7 linked regions of the Sus scrofa genome follow. The protein of the gene in region 2 interacts with the protein of the main gene of each other region in a pairwise test. Links are inferred from orthologs where the notes say so. Each region holds a gene or a part of one and is shown on either strand. Other genes may lie near its edges. The genes, in order: TFAP4, EXOSC8, OTUD4, SLAIN1, TXNDC17, POLDIP3 and DUSP23.

What was found.
Region 1: the proteins of EXOSC8 (region 2) and TFAP4 interact in binary tests that used the Homo sapiens proteins (3 or more experiments, as listed by UniProt). The two-hybrid records come from large-scale screens. The link is inferred for Sus scrofa from reciprocal best matches to the Homo sapiens genes EXOSC8 and TFAP4.
Region 3: the proteins of EXOSC8 (region 2) and OTUD4 interact in binary tests that used the Homo sapiens proteins (3 or more experiments, as listed by UniProt). The two-hybrid records come from large-scale screens. The link is inferred for Sus scrofa from reciprocal best matches to the Homo sapiens genes EXOSC8 and OTUD4.
Region 4: the proteins of EXOSC8 (region 2) and SLAIN1 interact in binary tests that used the Homo sapiens proteins (3 or more experiments, as listed by UniProt). The link is inferred for Sus scrofa from reciprocal best matches to the Homo sapiens genes EXOSC8 and SLAIN1.
Region 5: the proteins of EXOSC8 (region 2) and TXNDC17 interact in binary tests that used the Homo sapiens proteins (3 or more experiments, as listed by UniProt). The two-hybrid records come from large-scale screens. The link is inferred for Sus scrofa from reciprocal best matches to the Homo sapiens genes EXOSC8 and TXNDC17.
Region 6: the proteins of EXOSC8 (region 2) and POLDIP3 interact in a two-hybrid assay, tested with the Homo sapiens proteins (2 studies listed by BioGRID). The link is inferred for Sus scrofa from reciprocal best matches to the Homo sapiens genes EXOSC8 and POLDIP3.
Region 7: the proteins of EXOSC8 (region 2) and DUSP23 interact in binary tests that used the Homo sapiens proteins (3 or more experiments, as listed by UniProt). The two-hybrid records come from large-scale screens. The link is inferred for Sus scrofa from reciprocal best matches to the Homo sapiens genes EXOSC8 and DUSP23.

The regions. Positions count from the first base shown.
Region 1 is NC_010445.4:38,054,100-38,057,913, reverse strand, and holds part of TFAP4 (transcription factor AP-4), read right to left. Parts: intron 1,513-3,814; coding exon 1,347-1,512; intron 1,241-1,346; coding exon 1,142-1,240; intron 754-1,141; coding exon 583-753; intron 45-582; coding exon 1-44.
Region 2 is NC_010453.5:12,819,867-12,823,313, reverse strand, and holds part of EXOSC8 (exosome complex component RRP43), read right to left. Parts: intron 2,849-3,447; coding exon 2,775-2,848; intron 1,600-2,774; coding exon 1,554-1,599; intron 895-1,553; coding exon 789-894; intron 707-788; coding exon 661-706; intron 1-660. UniProt on the Homo sapiens protein: Non-catalytic component of the RNA exosome complex which has 3'->5' exoribonuclease activity and participates in a multitude of cellular RNA processing and degradation events.
Region 3 is NC_010450.4:83,261,249-83,265,062, forward strand, and holds part of OTUD4 (OTU domain-containing protein 4), read left to right. Parts: intron 1-408; coding exon 409-466; intron 467-718; coding exon 719-836; intron 837-926; coding exon 927-991; intron 992-3,377; coding exon 3,378-3,472; intron 3,473-3,814.
Region 4 is NC_010453.5:49,880,851-49,884,341, forward strand, and holds part of SLAIN1 (SLAIN motif-containing protein 1), read left to right. Parts: intron 1-136; coding exon 137-292; intron 293-2,655; coding exon 2,656-2,938; intron 2,939-3,491. UniProt on the Homo sapiens protein: Microtubule plus-end tracking protein that might be involved in the regulation of cytoplasmic microtubule dynamics, microtubule organization and microtubule elongation.
Region 5 is NC_010454.4:50,734,222-50,738,768, forward strand, and holds TXNDC17 (thioredoxin domain-containing protein 17), read right to left. Parts: upstream 3,089-4,547; 5' UTR 2,773-3,088; coding exon 2,628-2,772; intron 2,067-2,627; coding exon 1,985-2,066; intron 1,587-1,984; coding exon 1,511-1,586; intron 630-1,510; coding exon 561-629; 3' UTR 448-560; downstream 1-447. UniProt on the Homo sapiens protein: Disulfide reductase. May participate in various redox reactions through the reversible oxidation of its active center dithiol to a disulfide and catalyze dithiol-disulfide exchange reactions. Modulates TNF-alpha signaling and NF-kappa-B activation.
Region 6 is NC_010447.5:6,173,080-6,177,511, reverse strand, and holds the start of POLDIP3 (polymerase delta-interacting protein 3), read right to left. Parts: upstream 3,070-4,432; 5' UTR 2,954-3,069; coding exon 2,895-2,953; intron 1-2,894. UniProt on the Homo sapiens protein: Is involved in regulation of translation. Is preferentially associated with CBC-bound spliced mRNA-protein complexes during the pioneer round of mRNA translation. Contributes to enhanced translational efficiency of spliced over nonspliced mRNAs.
Region 7 is NC_010446.5:90,719,992-90,724,187, forward strand, and holds DUSP23 (dual specificity protein phosphatase 23), read right to left. Parts: upstream 2,685-4,196; 5' UTR 1,903-2,684; coding exon 1,636-1,902; intron 1,103-1,635; coding exon 917-1,102; 3' UTR 664-916; downstream 1-663. UniProt on the Homo sapiens protein: Protein phosphatase that mediates dephosphorylation of proteins phosphorylated on Tyr and Ser/Thr residues. In vitro, it can dephosphorylate p44-ERK1 (MAPK3) but not p54 SAPK-beta (MAPK10) in vitro. Able to enhance activation of JNK and p38 (MAPK14).

The sequences.
Region 1 (3,814 bases), on a different chromosome or scaffold from region 2:
ACCTTGAGCTTTTCCGGGTACATGTGGGCCTCCAGCGAGCGCACCTGGCAGGGGAATGCAGGCTCAGGGGCAGGGCCCGGGCCACACCCTGGCGCCTCGCGCTCCGACCGAGGTCGGCCTGCTCGCTCCTCCTGACTCCTGCTGCAAAACCCATCAAGCAGCCTGCCATCCTCACCACCCTCGGGGTGGAGGACAAAGTCCTCCAAAGTCCCGCCAGGCCCGCCCCATGCCATGCGCCCTCTCTGTCCCCTCCAGCCCCAGGCCTTTGCCCAGGCTGTTCCCTCTGCTTGGGCAGCTTTGAGACTCCCCCTCCCACTCTCAGCTCAGGTCACTTCCGGAGACGCTGTGGGGCAGCCCCTCTCGAAGCAGCCCGGATGCCCACCAATCCGGTGTGGCCTTGATCACAGCTGCAGGGGCATCCTCTGCCTAATCTCCCCCAAAGCAGACAGGCCTGTCGGCTCTGCTCCCCACCGGACACCCCGCTCCGAGGCGTGGCACAAAGCAGGCGCTCCTGGAAATAACTGCTCAAAGGGAGGGCAGGCCAGAGCCAGCCAGCACCCCCAGGAGGCCCGCCCACCTCACCTGCTCCTCCAGCATCATGCGCACCGAGCGCTCCTTGTCCAGCTGCTGCCGCAGCTCGATCATCTCCCGCCGCAGATCCTCCGCCTTCTCGTCCTCCCAGATGTCCGGGGAGCCAATGCCCTCATCCTTGTCCTCTGCCCGCCGCCGCTTGGGGGACGAGCCGCTCAGCTCCTGGGGACCCCAAGGGGGTGGGTGAGTGTGCCGTGGCAGCACATCCACCACCACCACCACCACCACCACCAGGATGGGACAGGAGCTCCACGGCAGCCCCCCAAATCTGTCACACCCAGCTAGAGAGCCCCTTTTTGCAAATCCAACAGACAAAGGCCAGAAAAGGAGGCAGAATGGACTTGCTTCCTAGAAGTCAGGGGTTCCGTCCAGAGTCTACTCTGCTGCACCGGATGATGGCTAAACTAGGGCCCAGGCCGAGGCAAGGGCTGGAAGCAGGCAGGTCAGCAGAAAGAAGGGCCCTGTAGCCACATCCCCGTCCCAAGCCAGGGGTTGGGCCCAGACACACACATGCCAGGCGAAGGGCGCCGGGAGCAGGGCAGGGCCCTACCTGGATAAAGCGCTTGAGCTGTGTGTTCTGCTGCAGGAGCCGGGTCTTCTCCTGCTCCAGGGAGAAGATGTATTCCGCAGTCTGCTGGAGAATAGCTGCCTGAGGGCAAGAGGGACAAATCAGGAACCCCGGCGGACAGGGTCTCCTGAATCTCCCTGCTCCAGCCCCCCACCTCCTCCAGGAAGTCCTTCTGGGCCTCGCCCACCTTGCTGAGCTTCTCTCCATCTGTGTGGGGGATGAGGGTCTTGAGGGACTGGAAGCCCGCGTTGATGCTCTGCATGCGCCTCCGCTCGTTGCTGTTGGCGATCTCCCGCCGAATCCGCCGCTCCTGGTCCCGCTGAGTCTCAGGGGTCAATGGAATGTTGGCAAGGCTGCAGGAACAGAGACAGACTCAGGCTCGGTGCCCAACCACCCCGTGCCCTGGCTCCAGTGCGCCCCAAGTATAACCTGCAACCCTCCCGCTGCAAGATATCAGCTGTCTGATGCCTACACCCGCAGCAGATCCAGGGGTGATGAAGTGTGTGCTCTGGGATGCCTGGGTGTGAAAAATGGATGCCTGGATGCCAGACCCTGGGGTCTGGACAGCAAGGATTTATTTATTTATTTATTTATTTATTTATTTATTTATTTATTTATTTATTTATTTTGGCTTTTTAGGGCTACACCCAAGGCATATGGAAGTTCCCAGGCTAGGGGTCAAATCAGAGTTGTAGTCACTGGCCTACGCCACGGCCACAGCCACGCCAGATCCAAGCCGCAACTGTAACCTACACCACAGCTCACAGCAACGCCGAATTCTTAACCCTCTGAGTGAGGCCAGGGATCGAACCTGCATCCTCACGGTTGCCAGTCAGATTCGTTTCCACTGAGCCACCACGGTAACCCCCTGGCCAGCAGGTGTGTGTGGAGCCCAGAAACCTGCGTGGCTAAGAATCCCTGTGATTCCGATGCAGGTGGCCCGACCATAATCAGAGACACCTGCTCCTGGGCCACCCCCAAACTCCTTGCTCTACACCTGGACCCCTCCTTCAGGGTCGCAGGCTTGAGGACTGAGGCAGCTGTCCTTCCCCTCTCAGCCTCACAGCCACAAATTCCCAGAAGCCCCCAGCCCGGCCCCAGATAGTTCTCCCCCAAGCCCACCCACCCCAAGATGCAGGCCCACCCTGTGCCCGAGAAGCGAGGCTCCCAGCACGCAGAAGGCAACATTTTGCATATGATGCGGCCGCATCTTGCCGGAGCAGTGGCCAGTGGGGTGAGAGAGAAGGCAGCCAGCAGAAGGCGGCGAGGCTGCCGGCCCGAGGGGCGCTGGCGGGAGGCAGAGACGGGCCCAACGCCACTGCTCCCCAGGGGTGGGCCTGTGTGTGGCCCGGAGGAGGCAGGCCCCCCCTTCCAGGCCCTCTCCTGTAACTCCCCCGCCCCGGCCTGATGGCTTCCAGATGCTGGGCTCCCAGAAGAGGCCACCGGCCCCACCCAAAGCCACAACCCTGGCTTCTTCCTGAGGGGCCCTCCTGGGGTGACCTGGACCAGGCCTGAGCCAGCATGGCTCACACCCCTGGGTCTGGGGGACCAGCGAGAGGATCCTGGGCAGCCTTGTTCCATTGATGGAGGAGCCTGGGCTCAAAGAGGCCCAACTCCAGGGGAAAAGGAGCTCGCTGGGAAACGTAGGAGGGGCGCACATCTGCAACAGCCAGAGAACTTTCCTGGCCCCCTGGCCCACCCCGTCTGTCCTACCTAAGCTCCCTGAGGGATCCCGGACTGGTCCTGGCCTCTTCCTGGGTCTCAGAGAGGGTGGTCAGCTGGGGATGGGCTGGCAGCAGACTGGGGACATCGGCCACCACTGGGGGTCCAGAGCAAGCCCACTCCTCCACAGCACCTCCAGACTTTCCCTGAGACCGCCCCCCGAGACACAGCTCCCTCTCAGCATCGGAAAGGGGGCCCATGACCCCCCTTTATAAATGGGACTTAGAGCTCAGGGCAAGAGGGACATAGTTTTCAGGTCAGACAGCTGGGCATCTGGCTCCCCTTCTTCTGGGCCAGGGGTACGTCACTTCTCCCAGTTTCCCTGCCCCTATGGGGGGCAGGGTGTGTGACAGGATGGCAGATGGAGGAGAGGGGGACAGAGGTCAGGCACCTGACATCCAGCGTCTTGCCTGCCTTCTGCAGGGAAGGAATGAGCATCAGAACTGAGCCCAGGCTCCCAGGCCTGGCAGTCGGTGGATTAAAGAAGAGAAGAGAGGAGTTCCCATCATGGCGCAGCGGAAACAAATCCGAATAGGAACCATGAGGTTGCGGGTTCGATCCCTGGCCTCGCTCAGTGGGTTGAGGATCCAGCGTTGCTGTGAGCTGTGGTGTAGGTCGCAGACACGGCTCGGATCCTGCGTTGCCATGACTCTGGGGTAGGCTGGCAACTCTAGCTCCAATTTGACCCCTAGTCTGGGAACCTCCATACACCTTGCGTGCGGCCCTAAAATGCAAAAAAAAAAAAAAAAAGAAGAAGAAGAAGAAGCAGAGGGAGCTCCTGCTATGGCACAGTGGGTTAAGAATGTGACTGCAGCAGCTTGGGTCAGTATGAGGCTCAGGTTTGATCCAGTGGGTTAAAGGATCCGATGTTGCCACAACTGGGACCTAGATTGGATTCAACCCCTGGCTGGGGAATTTCCACATGCCATGGAA
Region 2 (3,447 bases):
TGGTATAACATTCATTTGTTTTTACTTACAAACCACACCTTCATTAGATAAGATAACCTTCAAGACTCAAAAAACTTAAAACTTTAAAGTTTAAAAAAAAACTGTACAGGTTGGATAAAAGCTGACTTTTTACTACCAAAAGCTGACAGGTGAACATCTCCATTTCACTCAAGGGAACTACAATGATGAAGGAATTACTTCTGAAAATTTAAAATGTACTTTACCATAGAAACCTCAATATATGAAACTTTTAGATCTTAATGCTTAATACATCAGTATAATCAAATAGGAAAAGCCTCTAGGTACTAGTCAACTTAGTTCAAAGTCTCCAAACAGACTTTTGGAATTTATACTGTGGATTCACCTCAAACACATGTTAGCTGATCAGACAGTAATAATCTGCTAGAAGAAATTTTAAAATGACTTATTTCTGTAAAAGGGGAGATTACATCAGCCTAAGAGGCATATCCTAGCCAGGTACTGAAGTCATCAAAATTGGTTGTTTAATTTTTTTACCTTTTTTTAGTGAATTCCATCTAGAATGGAATCTAGTAAAGACATCAGTATTTAAGGCTACTGTTTTTTGGGTTTTTTTTTTTAATTTTTCCCACAAAACCCACCAGAATTAATAAAAGGTCATAGCCTCTTTATTCCTCTTACCTTTCCTGGAGAAATGCATAAGTCCTCTTTCTGAATTATCTGTGAACTTGATTTAAAGACAAAGAGCATGGTAAATAAAAGTTCCAACGCTCTAAAATGAATGATAGATTTTATCAGGATGATCTTACTTTTCAATGACATCTGCAATGAACTGGCTGGCCACTTGGGCCTCTTCTCCCGGAGGGCCAGACCGAAATCTCCAGGAACACAGAGGTGATAGATCCACATTAGGAACTGAAAAAATACTGCAGCTATGAACCAGATTTCATCTCTGATTTAGTGATAAAGGTATTATCAATCCACTGCAAAAGCAACTAGCCATGGAAAGCACTGTAAAACATCACATATATCTTTTCATCTTTGTAATAAGAATCCTGGGCTTAGACAAAATTTGTATTTTCCAACTGTTTTCCACACAAGCAATATCAAAAAAAGTATATTTAGGGCCTTTTTCTAAAGGCCTTTCACTAAAGTTCTTATATGTCTTTCAAAATGCCCCAAAGTGTAACAGAAGATAGCCCCCCTCCCCAGTCATACCAAGTGTTACGCATTTTTAAAATGTTGGTTCTCATCATAATGAAAAGATGGTCCAAGAAAAAAAAAAAATCACATGGTGGTATGAATAAAACTTTATGGAAACAAAAGTTTGTAATTATAGCCTTTGCCTAAGATTTTATTTTCTTGGTTGATGACATCTATACAAAAACTGATCAAAAAAAGATACTTATAAAATTATCTTGCTATTATGCTATCTTCTAACATATACAAAAAACTTTTCAGGAATGTCTAAAGCTTATGAATACTCTTCAATTCACCTACTAAGATTTAACTATAACAACAGTATTAACTATGTTAAAATATTTGTATTAAAATTACAAAACCATTTAACTCACCAATATATCCTTTATCAGGAGCATCTGTTGGTGGCGCTCCAAATTCCTGTAGAAGTAAACAAATGTTTCCTATGAAAGAAGCTGCTAAAAAATTGAGAAGGCAGCAGTCAGTTACGGAAGGCTCTTCCGTCTTAGCTAGTTAACTACATCCTGAGCATCTCCTGTGCTCGGGAGGGCGTGACAAGGGCTCTAGGGCCACTGGCACCACTCCTTACAAGTTCTGCAAGGCCAGAAGGCAGTAGAGCACAGCTGACTGTCGTGCCACTCATCAAAATTACTTGGGGCTCGTTAATTGGATTTCTGCTCCACCCTCTCTTCCACTTATTCAGCAGCCAGGACTGAATTTAAACCTAGGGATACTGACACAGCCAGATTTAGAAACTGATGGGAGGAATCAAAAGCAAATGTCAGAATCACACTTTGTAGCTCAGAGACTTTGAGGAAGTTATTTAACCTCTTACCATTCAACTTCCTCATTGGTAAAGTGGGAAGTTAATAGGGCCTACTTTCAGAAGATGTTAATAAGGGTCAAATGAAATAATATTAAATCCCTGACATAAAACCTAAAAAAGAGTAAGTGCTCAAATCTTGTTACATATCACTGCAACCTTTACTGAAAAAGAACCTGAACTTAGATTAAGCAAATTACAAAGTTCAGGATAGTCAAAAAAGCAGAGACTTTGGAGTTAGTTATGTCTAAATTCAATTTATGAGCCTTATGTTCCTAGACAAGTTTTTTGAACCTCATGTAAGATAGGAGATGAAGAGAGAAATATTTCAAATAATTATTCTGAGGTTTAAACTGGCTAATTTTTTAAAGCACCTAATATAAGGTGCCCAGGATATAGCAAGTACTCAGTTAATGGTGGCTATTACTCCCTCAAGCTTTTCCTTTAAACAATTTTCTACATGTTTGCACAGATTAAATGCCATCCCTGCATAAAAAGATGTCACCCAAAATCCCTCTTAATTTCTCAAATTACAACCAAATTTTTAAAAAATTAAAAGTGGTGAGGGTTTTTAAAAAATTTCATTTCAGCACATTTGCAAATGTTCATAAATTATAATTGAGTCATTAAGCTTGCGAAATGAAAACAAATACTAAAAAACTGACATCTGATCACCTCATCACCAGAACTATAGGTGTATATTACAATCTAATAAGTGTATGAACTAATTTGGTAACTCAAATCTTTATAGTAATATACACAATAAACTTACTGCTTTAATTCCACAAATTACTGTAGTATTTCCCAGCTTCACTAAAGAAGAACCATCTGCAGTACCAATTGAACCTGAAAAGATAAGTATTTAAACAAAATGAAAAGCACTTTTTTTTTTTTTTTTTTTTTGGTCTTTTGTCCTTTAGGGCTGCACCCACAGCCTATGGAGGTTACCAGGCTAGGGATCCAATCGGAGCTGTAGCCGCTGGCCTACATCACAACCACAGCAACACCAGATCCAAGCTGCGTCTTCGACCTACACCGCAGCTCATGGCAATGCCGGATCCTTAACCCACTGAGCGAGGCCAGGGATTGAACCCAAAATCTCATGGTTCCTAGTTGGATTTGTTTCCGCTGCACCACGATGGGAACTCCTTTTCATTTTCTATGTATGGTTTTATCTTGCTACATATCTCATTTGTTTACAAAATTGTATTCCTTGAGTCTTTTTAAAATTATAGTTGACCCTTAAACAGCATGGATTAGAACTGCACCAGTCCACTTATACAGGCATATTTTCAATAAATACTACTACAGTACTACATGATCCACAGTTGGTTGAATCCTTGATGCAGAACCCGAGATATGGAGTACCCATTGTAAAATTATACTTGGATTTTCAACTGTGTGAGGATTGCCACCCCTAATCCCCTCGTTGTTTAAAGGCCAAC
Region 3 (3,814 bases), on a different chromosome or scaffold from region 2:
CTCCCCAAAGGACTTATCAGCATTTAACATATTACTTACTTAGTTTGTATCTACTCTCAGTGGAATATATCATGTTGGAGTGGAATAATTTATTTAATGGAGGCTTGTCTGTATTTTGAAATGAAATTTTTAAATTAAACGTTACTCTACCAACCCAAATTTCAGTTTATTTCCTTTGTGTCTTGATTGAGTCAGTAAGAATTACTGATAAAGATCTTTCACATATGTGTACATCAACACATGCATACATGTACATATATATGCACACAACTAAAATTTGAGCTCATTGGAATATAGGTTTGGCTTTTTGGAATATAACTGAGATTTAAATGAGGTTAGAATAAGTTAAGTTAATTACATGCAAACATTTTTGTACTCCTCATGATGGCTCTGTTTCTTTCTTCGTAGGAGTAAAACCACCGCTGTTAATGATGTGTATGGATTTAAAGCTTTGTCAAGTGATCAGGTATTTTTTTTTTTTTTTTAATGGTTTTAAACTAATTCTCCCATACCAGAAAGCATCTGAATTTATAGTCTTATTTTTTTTTCCCTTTTCTGGTACATTTTCAATAGAGTCAGGATCATCTATTAGTAAGACATTTTTGGTGACTTCCTAATTTTTAAAGTTTTCTTCTTTTAATTTTACTCTTATGCATATCTCAAACATGTTTTAAAAGCGTTTCTGTGTTGATTGGACTTCCTGACTTTGTTTATTTAGCACCCGAAAAGCAATGGGAACTCTCCCAGCCTTCCTTTGTCTAGAAAGGTTCTTAAGTCACTCAATCCAGCAGTCTATAGAAATGTGGAATATGAAATATGGCTGAAGTCTAAACAAGGTGAGTTTCAAAATCTGTGCATTTTCTGTAAATTTGTTTTGTGGCGTTTGAAAGTGAGTTAACTTGATATTTTATTGATACCGTTTACAGCTCAACAAAAACATGATTATTCCATTGCTGCTGGCTTACAGTATGAAGTTGGAGATAAATGCCAGGTAAGTGATTATCTAGAGGAAGAAAAGATTGTACTTGAAATGTATTTATTCTAATAGGAACCAAGAAAACAGCTGAAGTTTGGATATATTAATTTAGGATTTCAGAATATCTTTTATTGGATGTACTTTTTAAGAGTTACAGCAGCTATGTAGCTTTTCAGTACATGACCAAAATCATGTATCTAAATCATGGCATCCTATCACATGATCTTTAACTTAATTCAGCCTTTGATATTACTTGCTTCAAAGAAGTAACAGTAACATCTTAGATTTTCACATATTTTCATTACAGTTGACAAATTTACTGAAATTGATTCAAGCTTGACATTATAGGTCAGTTTGGTTTATGAAAGTCATCTGTAAGATTTTGATAGATCACATAATTTTGTGGTTGTTGGAATGAGAGAGGAAAATGACAATAAGTTTTGCCACTTACTTTGAGTAAGCTACATCTCTGGGCTTAAACGGGTGGGTTTAGATCAGTGTTCTTATTTGGAGTGATTTTGCACCCCTAACTCCCATGTAGCAGTGTCTGCAGACATGTTAGAGCTGTGAAGGTACTACTGGTATCTGGAAGGTAGAGCCCAGGCACAGTGCCAGACATCCTAGAACACACAGCACAGCTCTCCCTTCCAGCCAAAGTGTTAAAATGATAAGACTAGAGAAACTTTTATGAAAAAATTACTCTTTCTAAAACAAAAACAGCCCACACACTATAAAATAGTTGTATTTGGAAGATAAATTTCATCAAAAGTGATCTCCATCAAAAAGTGTTTCCTTTTAAAAACTAAAATAGCCATTGACAAATATTTCTTCTCGACTCATGGAAGAGACCCCATTTCCTTTGTGAAAAAGTGGTTTGTGAAAAGTATCTGGGGAATGGGATTGTATTTGGCTGTCAGTGACAGACTTGACCTTAGGAACTTAGCATAGTGTTCTGATTTAGGGTATTTGAAAGGAGCGAAGGAAGACGGTATGATTCATTTAGTTTTCCTTATAGGATTGTCAGAAATGTGTGCTAATTACAGAACAGAATTGGAGAATCTTTTACTGCAGTGATTGGGAAAACTTGGAAGAGACTAAAAGAGTAAATCCAGGTGCTCCCTCCCTCCTCGCCCCCACTTAGTGGAGGAGAGGAGATTGTTTATTTATTGCTACATCACTAAAATTGTGTTGTTAGTTTAAGTCAAGCATATTTCCTTTGAGGTTTCAGTTGCTTTTGTAAAGTCAATGGCTGTTGATAAGGTCAGTGGTAAAGCAGATACTTGTTTTAATGTTTTTCTTTTTAAGAGTATTCCGTTGCTGTTTATACCACTTGGCTATTTCACTTGGCTAAAATGTAATTGAAATTTTATTATGGAAAGTGCTATGACCCAAAGATGACTTTTATTTACTCAGATCAGCATAGTGTAAACATAGTTTAAACTTTTACTAAAAACTAACTTCAGAAAAATTCTTTTTTATTGTACACACTTGAAGAAAGGACAGCAGTGTTCTGCTGTGATTGAAGAATGAAGCCTCAGCTTGAGGACTTTGACTTGCTGTCAGGCCGTCCCTCTGCTCTGTGGCCATGGACTGTGCCCTCTGCACCGTGCCATTTTACGTAAGGGACTTGAGCATCTGAGGGAGATACTGGAACCAGTGCCGAGGGACACCTTTGCTGATAGGAGGAGGAGGTTGCTTGAAGCAGGGTGTGTACCTCCGGCTCCCGGGGCAGTGCCGGGCAGTGCCCTGTGCAGTGTGTACCGCTTGGCTGCAGGAGGGAGCCTAAAGGCTTACTCTTCTGTCACAATTTGCTCTTGTGTAATAACCACTAGTATATTAGAGAAGACATGATGGATCTATTTTCAGGGAGAAAAAAGGTCACATTTACATATTTTAATATTTTAAATATTGCAAGAGTGAGGAGATAATAGTAATTCTAATAATAGTTGCTCTTCTTTGTTGAGTGGTTGCTGTGTGCAAGCTGGTGCCTTTATATATATATCATAGGTGCCTTATTCCATCTCCGTGGGTCCTGTGATGGAGGTCCTGTAATTAGCCCCGTTGTGCATACAGGACACTGAAGCAAGAGATAAGTCACTTGCCCAGGGTCCTATTGCTGTTGAGTAGAAAAGCCGGACCTGGAATCCCACCCAGTGTGTGGTGCCATAGCCCTGTCTTCAGAACCAGGACAATTGAAAAACTTTGAGGACAAAGAAGAGTGTTTTATCTTGGATAGAGCAGTACAGAGGTCTTGGGCGGTCAGAGACAATACTGTGCACTCTTTTGAACTCATAGCATATGTTCATTTTCTCTTCACTCAGAAATGAAATAACGGTTTAAAAACTGATAATTAATGTGGGAGATTCAGGTGACTGATTTTTCTTTGTGGACTGTTTAACAGGTTAGGCTGGAGCACAACGGAAGATTTTCTAATGCCGACTTTCAAGGGGTTCACTCTCAGAACGGGCCGGTTTTGGTCGAGGAACTTGGAAAGAAGTATGTATTGCTCTTCCACTGGGGCATTCACTGTCTGTTCCATTCAGCCGAGTATAAACACCGAGCATTTCTGAATGGACCTGTGCATTTGCAAATTCAGTTAAATGCATTAATATCTTGGTTTAGATCTTTCAAAGAATAGTTTGAGTCCAAATTTAGTGTTTAATACTTATTTTGTTGCTTACTGTTTAAAATATGCCATTCTTCACTAAGGCAGCTCAGAAAACTGACGGTATTGTAACTCTACAGTGGGAGCTTCAGAGGACAGGGACCGTGTTCATTTCTAATGTCATTCATTGCTGCCGTGTCTGCAGTTTTCAGTAAATGTTGTGTGATGGAGGA
Region 4 (3,491 bases), about 37 Mb from region 2:
GCCAGGGATTAAACCTGCGTCCTCAGGAGAAAACATCTTTACCCCACTGAGCCACAACAGGAACTCCTGAAATACAGTGTTTTAATTGGTATAAAACCTGTGGTTGTTAACTTAGTAAAATTCTTTTCTCTTATAGATAAGCTCCGAAGAAGTATGCCTAATCTAGCCCGGATGCCAAGTACCACTGCCGTTAGTAGCAACGTTAGTTCCCCAGTTACCGTGCGAAATAGTCAGAGTTTTGACTCCAGCTTGCATGGAGCTGCAAATGGAATTTCAAGAATACAGTCTTGTAGTAAGTATGACAACTTTTCACTCTTTTGTAATTTTTAATCAGCTATAACACCATTAGAAAAATACCTTACTTTTTCATTTCTCTTAAGAACATAAAAGGAAACTTTTTCTTTTTGACTTTTTTGTATTTCATTATTATAATTGAGTAGTATTTCAAGAGTGCCTATGTCACTGTGAGTAAATTATCTGTAATCCTTTATATCCAGAGACAGCAGAAGCACCAAATGGTGATTGATTGATTCGTCCACTCATCATACAGAAATATTTTCTTTGCAGATCTGCCTCGTTCTAGCTGTTTACTTGATATTTTTACTCTGAAGAAAGTACACTTACTCTGTCTAGCTGTCACTTTGGCCTTGTTTGCCATCAGTCCATAGCCTTTCCCCACAAATGAAGTTATATTTTTGTGTGTCTAAATTAGGACTTAACTACTTCATTTTGACCCTCAGTCTGTCATTCATTCTCCATCTGTTCTACGCAGTAACGAGCAGCTCAGTGAGTTCAGTCTATGTGCATTTTCACTTCTGTGGGGCAAAATTCCCATCTTCCTGCTCATATTGTCAATATGGGTAGTTGGGCTTAAGTCTGAGCCTGACCCCCTGGGAGGCAGAGTCAAGGTCACAGTCCCAGTATTGACACACCTGAACCCGAGAGGCCTGAATGTGTTCAGAGGGTGCTGGCCAAGGGCCAGCAACCTTAAATCTGCACCCAGAGTGAGTGGTTTGTAGCCCTATTCACTTACAACTTATTTTTTGAGCACTTTCAGGTTTACAGAAAAACTGAGTGGGAAGCATATCATTCCCATATAGCCCCCACATTCCCCCTTCCTCTCCTTCCATTGCCCCCATTTTAAACAGCTTACACTAGTGTGGTACGTTTGTTGCAACTGATGAGCCAATATGTTGAAACAGTCATGGCTAGAAAGGATCCTAGAGATGACATAGCAACCAGCACAAGTTCACTGTGTCCCCCAAACTTTTTTTTTTTTGCTTTTTAGGGTTGCACCTGCACCATATGGAAGTTCCCAGACTAGGGGTCAAATCAGAGCAGCAGCTGCCAGCCTACACCACAGCCACAGCAACTCGGGTTCTGAGCTACGTCTGCGACCTACACCACAGCTCATGGCACCACCAGATCCTTAACCCCCCGAGCAAGGCCATCCTCATGGATACTAGTTGGGTTTGTTTCCGGTGAGCCACGACCTCCCTGTGCCCCAAACTTGATAGGTTTCAGAGCCAACTCTTCCATGGACCTCATTTTTCATTGAATGTTTGGGTACTATACTCATACATCAGCATTCCTACATGTAGATGTCACTTAATACATACTTGAGCAAAACTAATTTAAGGAAACATTTTCAAGAGATATTAAGTAAAACCACAGACGTTTTGTCTTTCTCCCCACTTCTTTTTATAGAAGAGATACCTAGTGTATATTTTATGCATAAGTTCAAAACCAGTTAAACTATTTGAGAAAATAGGGTCCGGTCTGTTTCTGTTTCATTTGAACCACAGCTGTACTTGGCAGCAAAGGCTAGAGTGATCAGTAAGCAAACAGCAGCATTGTATGTACAAGTTTTTGTTAAATTTGTGATTCAGATTTTTTCCTCTGGAGAAGAGCATTATAAACATTAAAACAAACAAACCAGTTCATTATTTTCCAGTGTGAAATAGCGCTCAGTGTTGGGCCAGCATATTGATGAACTTTTTAAGGGCTCTTCCCCAGAGAGCTCCCTTCATTTCACAGGTTCTGCTGCTGTTTTCAAGAGAATAATAGCAGCACTTGTGGAGAGTCACTAAGCGCCAGGGGCCGCTACAAGGCGTTCTGTGGATTGACTCATTTAGTCTTCCCACCAACCCTTCGAGATAAGTGAATGTCATGGTGAAAATACTCTAAGAACTATTCTGTTATAAGCTTTTTGTACCTACTGAAGCCACCTCTGTCTTCCTTTCTGTAATTATTGCCATGACGTTGTCCCCTTATTTTCATGAAACATCCCCAGTGCACCCATCGAGAAATCCCAGTGTCTCCCAAGCGAGCAAGAAGGAAATCCTGGGAGAACTCAGAGATGACCGCGTTTGTCAAAGGCAAGGAAGTCGTGGTTCCCGCTGGCTTCTGAACATAGTCAGGCACTCAGATATGTTGCTGACATAGTAGACTCTTGTCAAGAAGTAGAATTTTCCAAAACAAGATGCAGTCTGGAGCCCGTATTGCATTTGTCTTTACACACACAGTGTATACACACAGTATATACTTATGCACACGCATAACCCTTGCAGACAGGTAGTCTCAGCTTTTTTGAACGTAGCCCAGTGTAGGTAGTGTAGACATTTTCTCTCATGTGCATGTTCTTTCCTCTCCCAGTTCCGTCACCAGGACAGCTTCAGCACAGAATCCACAGTGTGGGGCATTTCCCAGTGTCTGTCCGACAGCCTCTTAAAGCCACAGCCTATGTGAGTCCAACTGTGCAAGGCAGCAGTAGCCTGCCTTTGTCCAACGGCCTCCAGCTCTACTCTCCCACGGGGATTCCCACCCCCAGCAAAGCCGCAGCTTCTGGCATAATGGGCCGCAGCGCACTCCCAAGACCCTCTCTGGCAATAAATGGGAGTAACCTGCCTCGGAGCAAAATTGCACAACCCGTCAGAAGGTGAGAACCCGTGTCCTTTTCCGTACCCTCACCTGCAGTGTGCGATTAGAATAGAAACCGCTCTGGGAACCACCTCACCTTCTTCTCTGTCCCAGACCAGCCCCAGCTGTCTGTCCCGCCTCTGGCACACTGGGGGGTGGTGGGGAGGGGCTGTCCCTGTGGGGTCCGCCCCTGTCTGATCCCACCTCCCCTTGCTCCTGCAGCACTCCACTCTTTGCTTTTGCTTTAACTTCCCAGCTAGCCCCACCCGCATGGCCCACTGTCCCTCCTTCAGATCTTTGCTCAGGTGGTGCCTCCTTCCAGGATTGCAGCTCCTGCAAATTCAAATTCCTCCCTGTCCCCTTCCCCATCTGTTACCCACAGCCTTTATCACCACCTACTTAACGACTTTGGGCTGACTTCCCAGTAGCACGGAAGCTGCAGGAAGCGGGGTAGTTGCTTCTGGGACTAGTGTACACCCCTGATGCCAAGGACTATTCCCAGGGCAGGGAAGAACTGCTCATCTTTTTTGAATCAATGTTCTTTTTTTTTTTTTTTTTTAGGGTGGCACCTG
Region 5 (4,547 bases), on a different chromosome or scaffold from region 2:
TGAGACTGGCTAAAAGGCTAGGTTATATGGCCTCCCACCACTAGGTTGTATGGCTTCTGACCTCTCCGCCACCTGCCTCATCCCGCACAATCAGACAGCTGTAAAACAAAAGCAGGGGCTGGATTAGATGTGCCTTGCTATCCTTCAGTGGTTAGATTAAGTTCTACATTCTAAAGCCAAAGATGTTTTAGGATAACAGTTCTTTTGTAAGTTCATGGAATTTAAAGTAAAAGATCCTAACTTCTTTAGAAGTCTGGAAACTATCTTCTTCACTATCAGCGGCTTTTAGATATTTCTGCCCATCTCCAATAATATCCTCCCCTTTGGGCTACTACTGCTACTCCTGAAGACTTAGTTTATCCTTAGTTCAAACATATCCATATATTAAAGCAGACTAAGGGTTCATGAGCATTTTAATTGTACTCTCTATTATTTAGACATACACAGTTTTTCTTTTAATCATCATTTATTTATTGCTAACATGAATTCAAAGCAAGTGTGCAGTTTCTTTTATACTAGAGCAAATCAGGAAATCAAGACACAATTGCCATCATCAAATCTTACTCTTCAGAGAACAACATCTCCACGAGGTTGGTCTGAAGACACTCAGATTCTACCAGTTTTTGAGGCTGTAAAAGAAGAACAGTCTTATTTTAACCCATCACTACAAAAATGTTATTAGGAGGGGAATGAGTTCTGCCTTGAATGACACAGATCTTGGAACAGAAATTATCAACTAGTTGTAACACATTTTATGAAATAGTTAAGGTATTTGCTTTAAGGTAAATCATTAAAATTCTTGGCTCCCTGGACTAAAACAGGAGACAGCAAGCCCAGTGTCCCCCCTTTCCCTTAATTCTTCAATTCAGAATTCCAGGGTCATGACTTAACTAGAGGTGCCCTTTCATCAAGAATTATGGATTAAAGAGAAAGCAACATTGATGGCACTCTTTTAAGGGATTATATGTTAACCAACTTTGTTCAGCAGTGCCTACCGAATTTAAAAATAAGAATGGCTTGGGAGTTCCCTTCGTGGCTCAGCGGTTAACAAACCTGACTAGGATCCATGAGGATGTAGGTTCGATCCCTGGCCTCATTCAGTTGGTTAAGGATCTGGCATTGCTGTGAGCTGTGGTGTAGAAATCCAATGTGACTTGGATCTGGCATGGCTGTGGCTGGCAGCTGTAGCTCCGTTTCGATCCCCAGCCTGGGAGCTTCCCATATGCCACAGGTGCAGCACTAAAATGCAAAAACAAAAACAAAACCCCAGCCAAACAAACAAAAAAGAATGGCTTTTAAGAAAGCACTGAAAGAGCTAATATTTGCATTATTAATAATTTATTGGGACTGGCCATAGGGATAGACAGCTTTTGTGCTATGAATCCATGCTAAAGAGCAATATGATATTTGGGATGAAATGTCAAGGTCTTTTCAAATTTGAATCCAGAACAAGTTAAAAGAGTTGATAGGGTGAATTGTATCCCCAGCACAGTTAAAGAAAGATACTCACTGTTCCATATTTAAGTAGTGTAGGCACTGCGGTTAATTTCAACTTTTTCCTGAAGTCATTATTTGGATCTTTCCAACTATTTCAAAAAAAGAAAAGTGATCATGAAAAATTTACTTGGTTTCTTACAGTCTGCTAAATATTTGATGTATTCTTACATTTAGTCTTCTAGTAATCATTGTTTTTGTTGTGAACATTTTAAAGACCTTGACTCTATGATTTACTCCCCTGTGCAAAGTTTTCACGTGAGTATATACTAAAATATAAATGTAAAGACAATTAAGTTCCAAAGGAACATCACGGCAAATTCATTGAATTACCCCTACCTAATACAACTGGATGATCACTCAGATTTTTAATTTGTATTTTATATATTCTGATTGCTTGACTTATCCGACTATACCTTAGAACTCAGAGTCTGAGTCCCAAAGCCGTTCCTACCTAGGTCTGGGAAATAGAGTACATGTGGCCACTTACTAAAGTCTTTCTCCTACTTGGCAGTAGATGAACACACATCCTTCAACAGTATGCTTCAGCCCCTCTCGTACAACTGGTTCAGCTTTAAAAGAAAAAAAAAAGTTGGTAAAAATTAAAATAATTACACACCAACAGTACAATCAGCACTGATAAACAGTGCCCCTCTCGCCTCTCCCCTCAGGCTTGGTAAGTACTCAGACTTTAACCTGCAGTTAACTGAGGAGGTTAACAGAAGTCAGGTGCTGTTTTCTGATTTGAGAGCCACTTTAAAAGAGCAAGGACCAACTCTTAAGTCCTGATTTGTCCCCACACCACGGAGCCCAGAAAAACGAAAGACATATTTGTTGACATCCAAAAGAAACCACCTCGTGTCTCCTGTAAGACACTAATCAAGGAAGTTAAAAGTTCCAAAGGACTAGATTCTAAGATTACCTGAGTGGAATGGTAGAAGAGCACTCTTGGCGGGGTGGGAAAGGACTTAATAGGAGAGTCGGGTACAGGGTTGGAAAAGACAAAAGACAGCTCAGATCGCTCTGCGGGACTCGGGAGCAAGACTCCCTCCGCTTCTCCACCCTGCTCAATGGCCACAGCCTCAGCTTTCCTGCCAGGTCCTCTAGGCAGGAGACCCGAATCCCGGCCTCACCCTGCACGCAGTCGGGGCACCAGCTTTTCCCTTCGGCGTCCTTAGAACCGGAAAAGTAGGCGAAAATGGTCTTGCCATTGTGCTGCTTCACAGCCTGTATGAACTCTTCGTAGCCGGACACGCTCACCTCCTCGTAGCGGGCCATCGGGAAAGCGGGCCTGGGACCGCGGGAGGTGTCTTGGGCCGCACGCCGCAGCTGGGACCGATCCCCTGCGGGGCGGAGCGAAGCTGTTTCCGGGTGGGCGGGGACTTGAGGGAGCCAGCCAGGCTCTGAGGTGCTACGGGTGCCTCCGATGGCCCTAACTCGTCACCATCTTTCTGCTCTCACGTCTCAGGTCTTTCCGTGCTGGCTGCGCCCACAGCCCCCGGATTCTGCCCCAGTATGGTCCCAGTCCCGGCCCTAGCCCCATGTGCGGTGGCTGCAAAACCTGCCGCCGCGCTGCCCCTGGACCCTTAGGTGGCTCCGGAGCCTTAACGGCTCCCAAGCCACCCTGCGCCTGTTGCCATGGCGACTGGGCGAGCGGCCGGAAGCTAGGCCTAATAGCGGCCCCCCCTGCCCGCTTCCCGGTAGCCGCGCCGAGCCCCAGGCCAGGTGGGCTCGGGCCAGAGCTGGGGGGATTCTGGGAAGCTGCGTTAGGAGTCAGAGACGTAGGGAAGAGGAGACCTGGGCCCGGGGCAGATCCTGCCGCTCGTCGGCTCTAATTTTCGTTTCTTCTACTGAGGCTTTAGTCGGGCGTCCGGGACAGGGCGGGGGCAGGGGGCTGTGAGGGAGGAAGGCTGCGAGGGTTAGAGCTGAGTGTGAGTGCGTGTGGGGAGCCGCCTTGGGAGCTGGTGCCAAGACAGGAAGTGCCCCAGAGCTGCCTTGGGAAGGCGTGAGTCGTCCTGGAGCTATGAGCGGGATGGCTGGCCAGGGGGCCCTGCGGGGGCTGCGCGGGGGCGAGCCAGCCGCAGAAACGCCGGGCCGCTGCGTGGGGCCCAGCAGGTCTGGGCGTGGAGTCCGGAGGCCGTGGGGGAAGAGATGGGGTTCAAGGACCACTGGAGGCCGTGGAGCGAAGCGCTGGGCGAGGTCCTCCGTGCGGCAAACGCGCTGTGTGAGTGCAGAAAGGCTGCAGGACTGCCGGGGACAGTGGGGGAGAAGACAAGCAGCGGGGACAGCCCAGGCCGCCGGGGCGAACGAGGTTGCGGGGACACCTGGCACTGCAGGCTCTATGGAGGCTGCAAGGGACCCTGGGACTGTATGGGTGAACGGGGCTGTAGGGATACCCCAGGTGGTGGGGCCTGTCGGCTCTGTGTGGGTGACTGGCAGTGGGGAGGAGGAAGAGTCGGTTTATAGGAGCCCTCGGGGCTGTGAGAGAAAAGGTCGCCCGGGATCTATGGGGCACGAGAGCATTCTGGAGCTATGGTTGAAGGTGCAGGCCATGAGGGCAGCTTCGGGATGTGGGGAAGGAAGCAGAGTCGAACTCCATCCTGTGCCTGCAGGAGAGGGGTTGCTTGAAAGGGGGATTCCTGGCCGGGCTTCCTGGGTGGAAACCAGCCGTGGTGGTCTCACAGGACCCTGGGTGAAAGGGCAGGGTAGGGCAGCCCCCGGGGACTCAGGAATAGCTATAGCTCTGGGCCTGGGGGCAGGCTGTGAGAGGGCTGCAGTCGTGTGTGGGCAGGGCCAGCCTGTGAGGATACCCTCTGTGGCTTTGCCTGGCGCTATGGAGGCCAGTTCTGGGATTGCCCCAAACCTGCCAGGGAGGGGACAAGCTGTGGGGGTACCTGGGGCCAAAGAAGGGATAGACTATGGGGTTGCCCCAGGCTCTCGGGGAAAAGGACTGACTGTGGGAGTGCCTGGGGCCATGGGGTGGCCCAAGGCTGTGGAGGTACCCAGGTCTGTGGAAGGAGAGCTAGGCTATGGGGGCGCTCTGGGTCTGTGGG
Region 6 (4,432 bases), on a different chromosome or scaffold from region 2:
ACAAGGCCCAACCTTCCCACTAAGGCAGCTTGTCACCTTCATTTAACTACATGGAGACAGTGGACAGACAGCTGTCCTCTGAAGGTTAAACTCAGCAAACCAAAGAGGGGGTGCCCTGACTAAAGGAAGAAGTCAACAAGAGAGGCAGGCCCACACTGCTGCTGGTGCCCAGTGCTGTCCTGGGGAGTCATCTATGGGTCTTAAAGAGCTAAAGCCACTAGAAATGTGCTGTATGTGGGAAAGGACAGCACCTCATCATGGCCTGGCTGAAGTACCGCAAAAATTGCCCCCCCATTTCATATTAACCATCAACCTTTTGATGACTAACCGGGGGCCAGGCAATAAGGACAATAAAGACACCTTTCCTGACTTACACAGTGGGATGAACACAAAACAGAATGGCTGCTCTGAAGAACAAGCACATTCCGCCACCAGTGGGAAGAGGGTATTTACACTCCCTTCGGCTCAGTCTTTTGCTATTTGCACTAAGAAGAGAAAAGAAGTTTTCTGAGATGCTCACAGGTTCTTCCTAAAATTATGAAGCACAAAGTTCTCCCTGGGACACCTATGCAACTTTAAACCAAAGTTTCCAGTAAGGCGATTTCTTCTAGGAAGCATGTAGAATAGCATTTTATACTGTAGGAAAGGACACTTGTTCACTGATATTTGTTCAGATCTTTCACAGTCCTTGACAGGGAACCCTCCCGCCCCAATCTAGTTTTGTTGGCTGTGCAAGTAAAATAAAAATGGAGTCTCCAGCAGGTTTAACCCAAACACAGGAGGCAGTCCAATTTCTTCTACACTAGTCTCTTTGCCTACACTTCCCCAATCCAGTCTTCATGTGCTAGCAAAGCAATATTTTCACACTCAAGAGATTGCGTGTTACTTCTTTACTTAAAAACCTTCAATAATGATGACGACGGTGGCGAACATCTCTTGAGCACTTAGTATCCATCAGACGCTTTTTAAAGTACTTTATTTTTTAAAGTACTTTAGATACATTACTTCACTTAGTCCTGAAAACACTTAATGAAGCAAAAGTCCATGTTTTATAGATAAAAGAAAGAGAGGCCATGGAATGGTTAAGCAACTTCTGTAAGATCATATGAAAAATGGGAGAAGCAGGGATTGAAAGTTGGCAGTCTGACTCGAGGACCCCAATGCTTACCTGTTATGTCCCCTGGGAGGAGGGATTTGGGCTTCTTTAAAGAAAGGTCATCTGCTGAACACTTACAACCTGGTACAAACTTTTAAATATACATTCCTACATTCTCATATGCAATCTTCTCAAGCACCTACCAGCAACCATTATTGCAAATGAGGAGATCGACCAGCTCAGAAGTCATCTGACCGGGGAAGCATGGAACCCAACAGCAGGGCCTACCATGAGACCAGGTCTGTCTGGCTGCACACTCCCCGCTCTTCGCTCTTCCCATGCATCCATTTGTCTTCCCTTTCCTGCATTCCTACCCTACGGCCAACACAGACTCTGCACGCATCGACACCAAAGTACAGACCGCCTGCAGTGACTGCAGGAAGCACCTGTCCTGAAGCTGGCTCCTTCAGCATCTGTCCAGCAAACCTGTGAAACCTGGATGGGTCTGGAAATGGCCAGAGGACCAGCCCCAAGTCCACACCAGTTCTTGGCAGACCTAGGGAAGAACTACTCACCGATAATGGGAGAGGAAATTAATGCTGTGTGCCTATTATGAACCAGAAGCCAGATGAAATGCTGGCTGGTGAACTGTGTGGGGCTGGGGGGCAAACGTAGTGGATGGATGTATGTGTTGAGGGTCGGGGGATAGTAAGGCAGAGACTCTATTTTCTGGTCACAGGCACTTTTCATAAACATCTACTGAGTGAATGACTGTCTGAGAAAACAGTATGGAACAGCCTGGCCGTTTACAAGGACATCCGAGCTAATTTTCCGTGTGCTGGAAAACTCTGGGCCAAAGCTCCCACTTTTCCATACGGGTGAACTGGAGTTCTTACAGGCTGGAAACGACGAACCGTACTCGAGGGTCTAGAGGAGGGCGGTCTCAGAGCTGCACGTCGTCTCCGGGGCTCGCCACCCAGATACAGAACCGCCTTTTCTGAGCACCATCAGCAAACAGCTACCCTCCAGCCCCATCTCCCTTGATTTTCTGCCCAAGCCTGAGGCCACCTCGGCCAGCTCAGAACGCGCCTTCAGTCCCGGTCTCAGCCCTCCGGGACTTCGGGGCAGTCACTCCACCTCTCCCAGCCTCCAGCGCCCTGTCTGCAGAACGGGGAAAGCACGAAAGGCTGGCCGACAGGACGGCCAGAGGAGCTAATGAGACCGTGTGGGCCCGAGAGCGCTCAGACTCGGAAATACCGCTCCCGGGAGGGGGGGGGCGGTGTAAACAGACGCGAAGCCGGCGCAGGACTTGGAAACCTGGACCAGCTCTGGGGCTGGGGCTCGGCTTCGGCAGTAGAGACCGGCAGAGCCCGAGCAAGCCACTGCCCCGCCAAACTTCGGTCGTCCTAACTTCAAGGCCGCGCTGGGATCGCGGAGCAGCGCCGGTCTCCTCAGAGGAGGGGCTGCGCCGGGGCGACCCCGGGAATCCCGGGCCGCGGGGGACGGCCCGTCCCTCCGCCCCCCGCGCCGCTCCCACCAGCCCCGCAGCGCGGCCCCTCGGCGGCTGCGGCCCCTCCGGCCTCCCTTGGCCCGCGGGAGCGACGGCACCTCCAGCCAGTGGGCGGCCTGGCGGCCGGGCCCGCGGCGGCGGCGGCGGCGGCGCGGCCAATGAGGAGCGGGGCTGCGGCAGGGGGCGGGCGCAGACGGCCCTCCGCGTCGCGCCCGGGCCGCTCCCTCTTCAGCGCGAACCCCGCGAGGACTCAGGCCCTGAAACCCGAAAGGAGAAAAGGCTACTCACCGCCCCTTCGCAGCAGCCCCGCGCTTCCGGATGAGCTCGTCCAGGGAGATGTCCGCCATCTTGCACCGCCGAGCAGGCCGCGAGCACCTCAGGGTCCCTCGGCCCCCGAGCCCGCCCCTTCGGCCGCTGTGGAGCAACTAGCGGCTTCCGGCGTTCGGCTGACGAACTCTCGCGACAGATTAGGCCGAGCAGGGGCCGGAAGAGGCGGGCCTCTCCCCGTGAGCCTTTGCGAGGCCAGCTTCTGATTTGCATACGGGGGGTCGTATCCCTGTCGTTTCCTACCCTCTCCGAGGACCAAATAAAATACAAGGAGATATGAAAAACTAAATGAGTAAGACAAACGTCAGCGGGATGAAGTTCTCGGTTTAACGGTCAACTTTTATATTCACCGTATGGCTAATGAGAATGGGATTCCTTACCTAGGAAGTATGGACGTTTACATTTTTATGCCTTAAACTTATGAGTAAGGAAAATAACGATTCGGGGTGACGCCCGAGTCCTCACTGCTAATGTGAGACGAATTTTTGAGCGGGTAAAGGTCGCCCCTAAGGTGACCCGCCTACTTTGCGGGATGCCTGGGAGTTGCGATCTGCCCGTCCCCCTTTACACTTGAAAAGCAGACCAACTTTGACGAACATGGAGGATTAAGTAGTTGTGTGTTATTAGATTTCCTGAACTCGGAACTGATTCGTTTTTTGCTTTGTTGGGGTTGAAAAAAAAAAATGGCAAGTAGGGCGGAAACTGTAGACACTTTTAGGCTCTGCGGTCTTCAGAAGCAAATCGCGTCACCTTTCTGTGCCTCGTTTTTCCTGATCTGGAAAGTCGGGCAAGTAACAGGCGGTTGCGAGGATTAAATGAGGTGCTCGCCACGTGGAATTGCCTTTTCCTTGATGCAATCGCAGCCTCCACTTCTGACCCCGGCATGAGGTAGGTGTTCAGTATGTCTTTGTGGAGTCAATAAAAAAATACGTGCAACCCCTTTAGAACGGTGCCAAGCATGGACTTCGTGCCCAGTGAGTTACTACTGCTGTTATTTACTAAGTCCAACGTGCTCTTGACAGACTATCCCACCATGATGAAAAATCTGGCATCAGAAAGGCCGTGGAGAAATGAGCTGGTAAGGGCGGAGGGTCTGGGATTGGGCCCCCGCCTGAGGAGGGGAATCCAGGTCCCCCTGCGCAGCCGTGACCGGGCGCGGGCTGGTCCTCCTTGTCTCAGCAGTAAAGTAGGACCCTTGAGTGCTCCCTCCTAGAGGTGCAGAGGCCAAGACCCAGTGCCTGGCGGGAGGAACCAGGAGGGACCAGGGCGCTGCAGAAGTTAAGGCCTATCACGCCTTCACACGAAATAAATGAAGTATAGAGAAGTCAGTTAAAATTTTTTCTTAAACTACTGCAATCGTAGGGTGGTTAGCTGCTATCATTTAATTCTCTGATTGTCAGTGGGGCGGCCCTTTGCCAGGGGCATTTCGGAGCTTTGTGGGGTGTGTTTGGTTGTCTGGACAACATATCCAGCCACGTGAAGGCGGGGACTGGGGCGGG
Region 7 (4,196 bases), on a different chromosome or scaffold from region 2:
GTGGTCATGGTGATGGTGGAATGGCATCAGATGGGGAGGCAAAGCTAACATCTGAGAAACATGGCCAAGATTCGTAGCCCTGAACGTCTTCATTTAATCATCAACTATCCCCTGTGTATCTTCCCAGAGAGGCTGGGTCCTGGCACCGCTCAGCCTGTGGCTTGTGGCTGTGGGGCAGCACACTGTGCTGGAGGTCATAGGTGAGCCTGGAAGCCCACGGCTGGGGAGAGGCGCCCAGCCCCTGGAAGATGAAGATAGGGATTATCTGTGAGCAATGCATCCTCCTGGCCTTCTCTTAGAGGGTGAAAGGGATGGTGCATGTGGGGTATGTGGGCCTGGACTGAGGGGCTGGGTCCAGAGCGGTCCTTCTGGCCTGCAAGCATCAGAGACCAGAGTGCCAAGATCTGTTTCCTTTTCATTGACCAGCATTTGCCTACCTCCCAACCAAGAAACATCAAATATCATCAAAGAGCAGATGCACAAGAGTTTCAGCATCTTAAGAGACTGAAAATGTGTCTTCTTGTGCTGGCCCACTTTCCAGAAGTGTGACCGTCGGCCATTCTGAGCCTTTGTCACCTCATCCAAAGAACAGGGATGGCCCTTCTGCCTTTCCTGTCCCACAGGGCTATTGTGAGGCTCAAAAAAGTTGCTGTGTGGAAGCACTTTGTAAAGTGCTATGCCATGTGAGCTGGTTCTTTATTTATTCAAGGCAGCAGCAGAGGAATCCCCAACATCCATGCAGCTCCAGCCATCCCTCCTACCAGGACCTGCCTGCCGGGAAGGAAGAACAACTTTAGTCTCTTGACCCAGCTGGACACTGGAGGGATTAGCACTTTTAGTCCACGTGAATGTCTCTGGCCCCATCTAACGCACAGGTCAGGGCCATGGGGGCCCCGCAGAATGGAGCTGAGGTCCCTTATTTAGTTCGCTGGTAGAACTGGAAGACTGCCTTCTCCTGCTCGTAGGTCTCGATGGAGCCGGGTCGGAGGCGCCGGATCTCAGCGATGGCGTCTCCTGCAGCCAGGCGCCGCTCCTTGACCAGGTAACAGGCCAGCATGGTGCCAGTGCGGCCAAAGCCCAGGGCACAGTGCACTCCCACCGCCTGTGAAGGGGGAGCTGGAGGAAGTGGAGGCCGATGTCCTCCCACCACTTTCCTGCCCCTCACTTGTAAAATACAGCCAGGTTTTAAAGATGTGGGATAGCAAAGAATGAAAAATCTGGTTAAGAATTTATTTTATATTGATTACACGTTGAAATGATAATATTTCGGACTTAACTGGGTTAAATTATATGATCAAAATGAATTTCTTCTGCTTCTTGTTTAACTTTTTAAAAAATGCAGCTCCACTATATGTGGGCAGAACCTTACTCTGGAGACTGCTCACCCAGCTCCTGACTTCAACCCCCGTCTCTTCCAAGCCTGTCAACTCACGTTATGGGGTTCTTCGTTTTCTATACTCATCTCCTTTTCTCCATTTACCCCTCCCTCCTCCGCGTTTGTCTAGGTTGCACCTGTTTTCTGTCCCCGTCAGCCGGTCTTCCTCCAGTCTCTTTCCGCGACCTCCCCTGCTTTGCCCGTGTCCTCGCTGACCCCTCCCAGGCCCCTCCCTCCCTGCGCTGACCCCGCCCACTGACCTCTCCCCGGGCATTGGCCTCGTCCACGATCTGCACGAAGCGGTCAATCTGCTCTGGGCCTGGCGGGCAGAAGTCTGGAATGCGCAGTCGGTGCAGGGTGAGGCCGGGGCAGCTGTCGTGGTGCGGAGGCCCGCGTTCCGTCAGTGACACCAAGTGCCGTACACCCTGGTCCAGCAGGAACTGGTAGTGCGCGGGGAGCCGGGGCAGCGCCAGCCCCGCCAGCCGGCCGGGGAGCACCCACGAGAAGTTGGGGGGCTGCACGACCATGGCTAGGAGAGGGCACAAGACAGCTGATCATAGGGGGCGAGGCCGGCCGGTCCCGCTCCGCCCTCCCCCCCTTCCGGTCCGTGGGCCTGGTAACTCTCCGCCTACCAAACACTGGCGCCTCCTGGGACCACGTGGTCTCCAGGACTCGACCTAGGGTGCGCCCTGCTCCGCCGCGGGGGATTGGTGGAGCCACTTGAGGGGCGGGGCTAGGGCGCTGAACGCTGAGCTCGGAAGACTGAGAGGAGCGATCCGGTCTGGCCCCAAGCAGGACACCAGTTGATTGGCTGGATGATCAATAATGGGCGGGATTACTGCTGCGGTGCGCTTGGAGATTGGTGGACCATGCAAACAGCCAAGCAGGAAAACCTAGAGAGAATTCAGAATTGTTTGCTGTGGAGTAAGGAGCCCGGGGTCAGGCTCTGCTGCTCCCTGGCGGTGGAAGGGCGTTATTGCATCACTGACCAGCTTCCCTGCTGCCCAAGGGCCTGTCCTTGTCTTACTGTCTTCAAGATTGGATGCCCAAGGGTTTATGAGATGGCAAATCTACATCCGCTTTGGGGGGAGGAACCTCCTCTTCAGTGACTCTGACAAGTCGTTATTGGTGATTTTATGAACTCGTCTAGTAAGCGGGAATCTGTACAGGGAACTGTTCTCATTTTCCATTGCTGGAATTGGTTTTTAAAAATGAGAGTTGCAGCCATCTGGTACTCTGAAGTCTTACCCGGGATAGTAATTATTTAAAATAATAATAACAACATGAGAACCAATAAACTGAGCATTTACCGTGTGCCAGGTATTATTCTAAGTACTTTACATATTATTTAATTACATATTTAATTTGACATATATTACGACTTATTTAATTAACATATATTAACTTATTCATTTAGTCAATAATCTTTTGAGGTAGGTAAGCAAATTAACTCTCTTACAGATGAGAAAACTGAAGCTCTGGAGAAGTCCAGGAACTTGACCAGGAGATGACTAGTGGCGGATTTGAAACCGAGCAGCCTGGCTCCAGAATCAAAATGGTATTGTATTCTAAAGTTAAATGGAAGATTACTGCCTCTTTACATAACCCTCTTCAAACCCCTTAGCCGGGTTTCAGGATTTCTTAGTTTCTCTTCACAGCTCCTGATTTCCAGGTGCTCTGAATCACTCTTCCTTGGGGAAGCTTGAGTTTATCTGTCATTCATAAAAGGTGGAGAACTAGATGTGAACACAATGTCTTAGCTGTGATCCGACTGGTTCATATCCTCATTTGAACAATGTGCTCCTAGTGATGCAGACTAATTATAATTATGAAAATAGTTAACTTTTGTGAATTTATTTGCTTATGTACCAGGCCCTATGCCAGGTACTTTCTGGAAGACCCTCAGAGGGGAAGGTATTTTTGTATCCCTTTTGCACATGAGTCATCTAAGGCTCAGAGAAGTTGGTTACCTTGGCCAAGCACACATAGCTAGTGAGCCGCTGGACTGGTTGAGCCACGGTCTCTGTCATTCGAAGCCCCGGCTCCTTAGCCATGAAGATGGACTTCCCTCCCTCTGTCCCCACCTCCCCCTGAGACACACATTTGGTTCCAGCAAAATGAAAAGGAATTTTTCTTCCCCCAAAGGTTGAAGCCTGCTCTGACCCTGTGGAAAATGCACTTACCCTTTACCCAGACGACTCTGAAGCTTTACCGCACCTACTCTCCCCACGTTCCAGGAGCTGTCAAATCAACCCTTTCCTCCCCTTCCTGACAATCACAGCCCTGATTAAGTCCTTCCTGTCTGCACTCCCATTTCCTACACAACTCCCTGTGACTCTTTCTCGCCTATCCCAAGTTATTCCTTTCCCCTCTTCCTACTGTGCCTTTCAGCCTCCAGTTGTACCCCCAACCCCCTGCAACTTCTCTTAATCCCTCACTCGGGGGTTTCTGGTTGCATGGCCCCTGGAGACAAGACCCCAGCCCTTGCTCCTTTCAGGGTGACCCTTTCTCAGTTCCTTTGCCTGGCTCTCCTTTCTTGGCTCCCTCCACTGTCAGAGAAAAACCTCCACATCTCTCCCCACCCACTCTATGCCCTTTGCCGGCCTCCTTGAAACCCAGCTCACAGCCCATCCTCAGAGGGAAGATGTTTCTGGAGGAGACAGAGCTTCCCGGTGAGCCTTTGCAGGGGTCGAAGTCCATCCATCCACCCACCTGGGCTTCTTTTGTAGGAATTCCTCCCCTGTCTCTGCTGCTTGGCCTCTGGCTTCCAGTTTTGGTCCCAGGTCCCCGCCTTGGTCTGTGTCTCACTGACAAGGATACT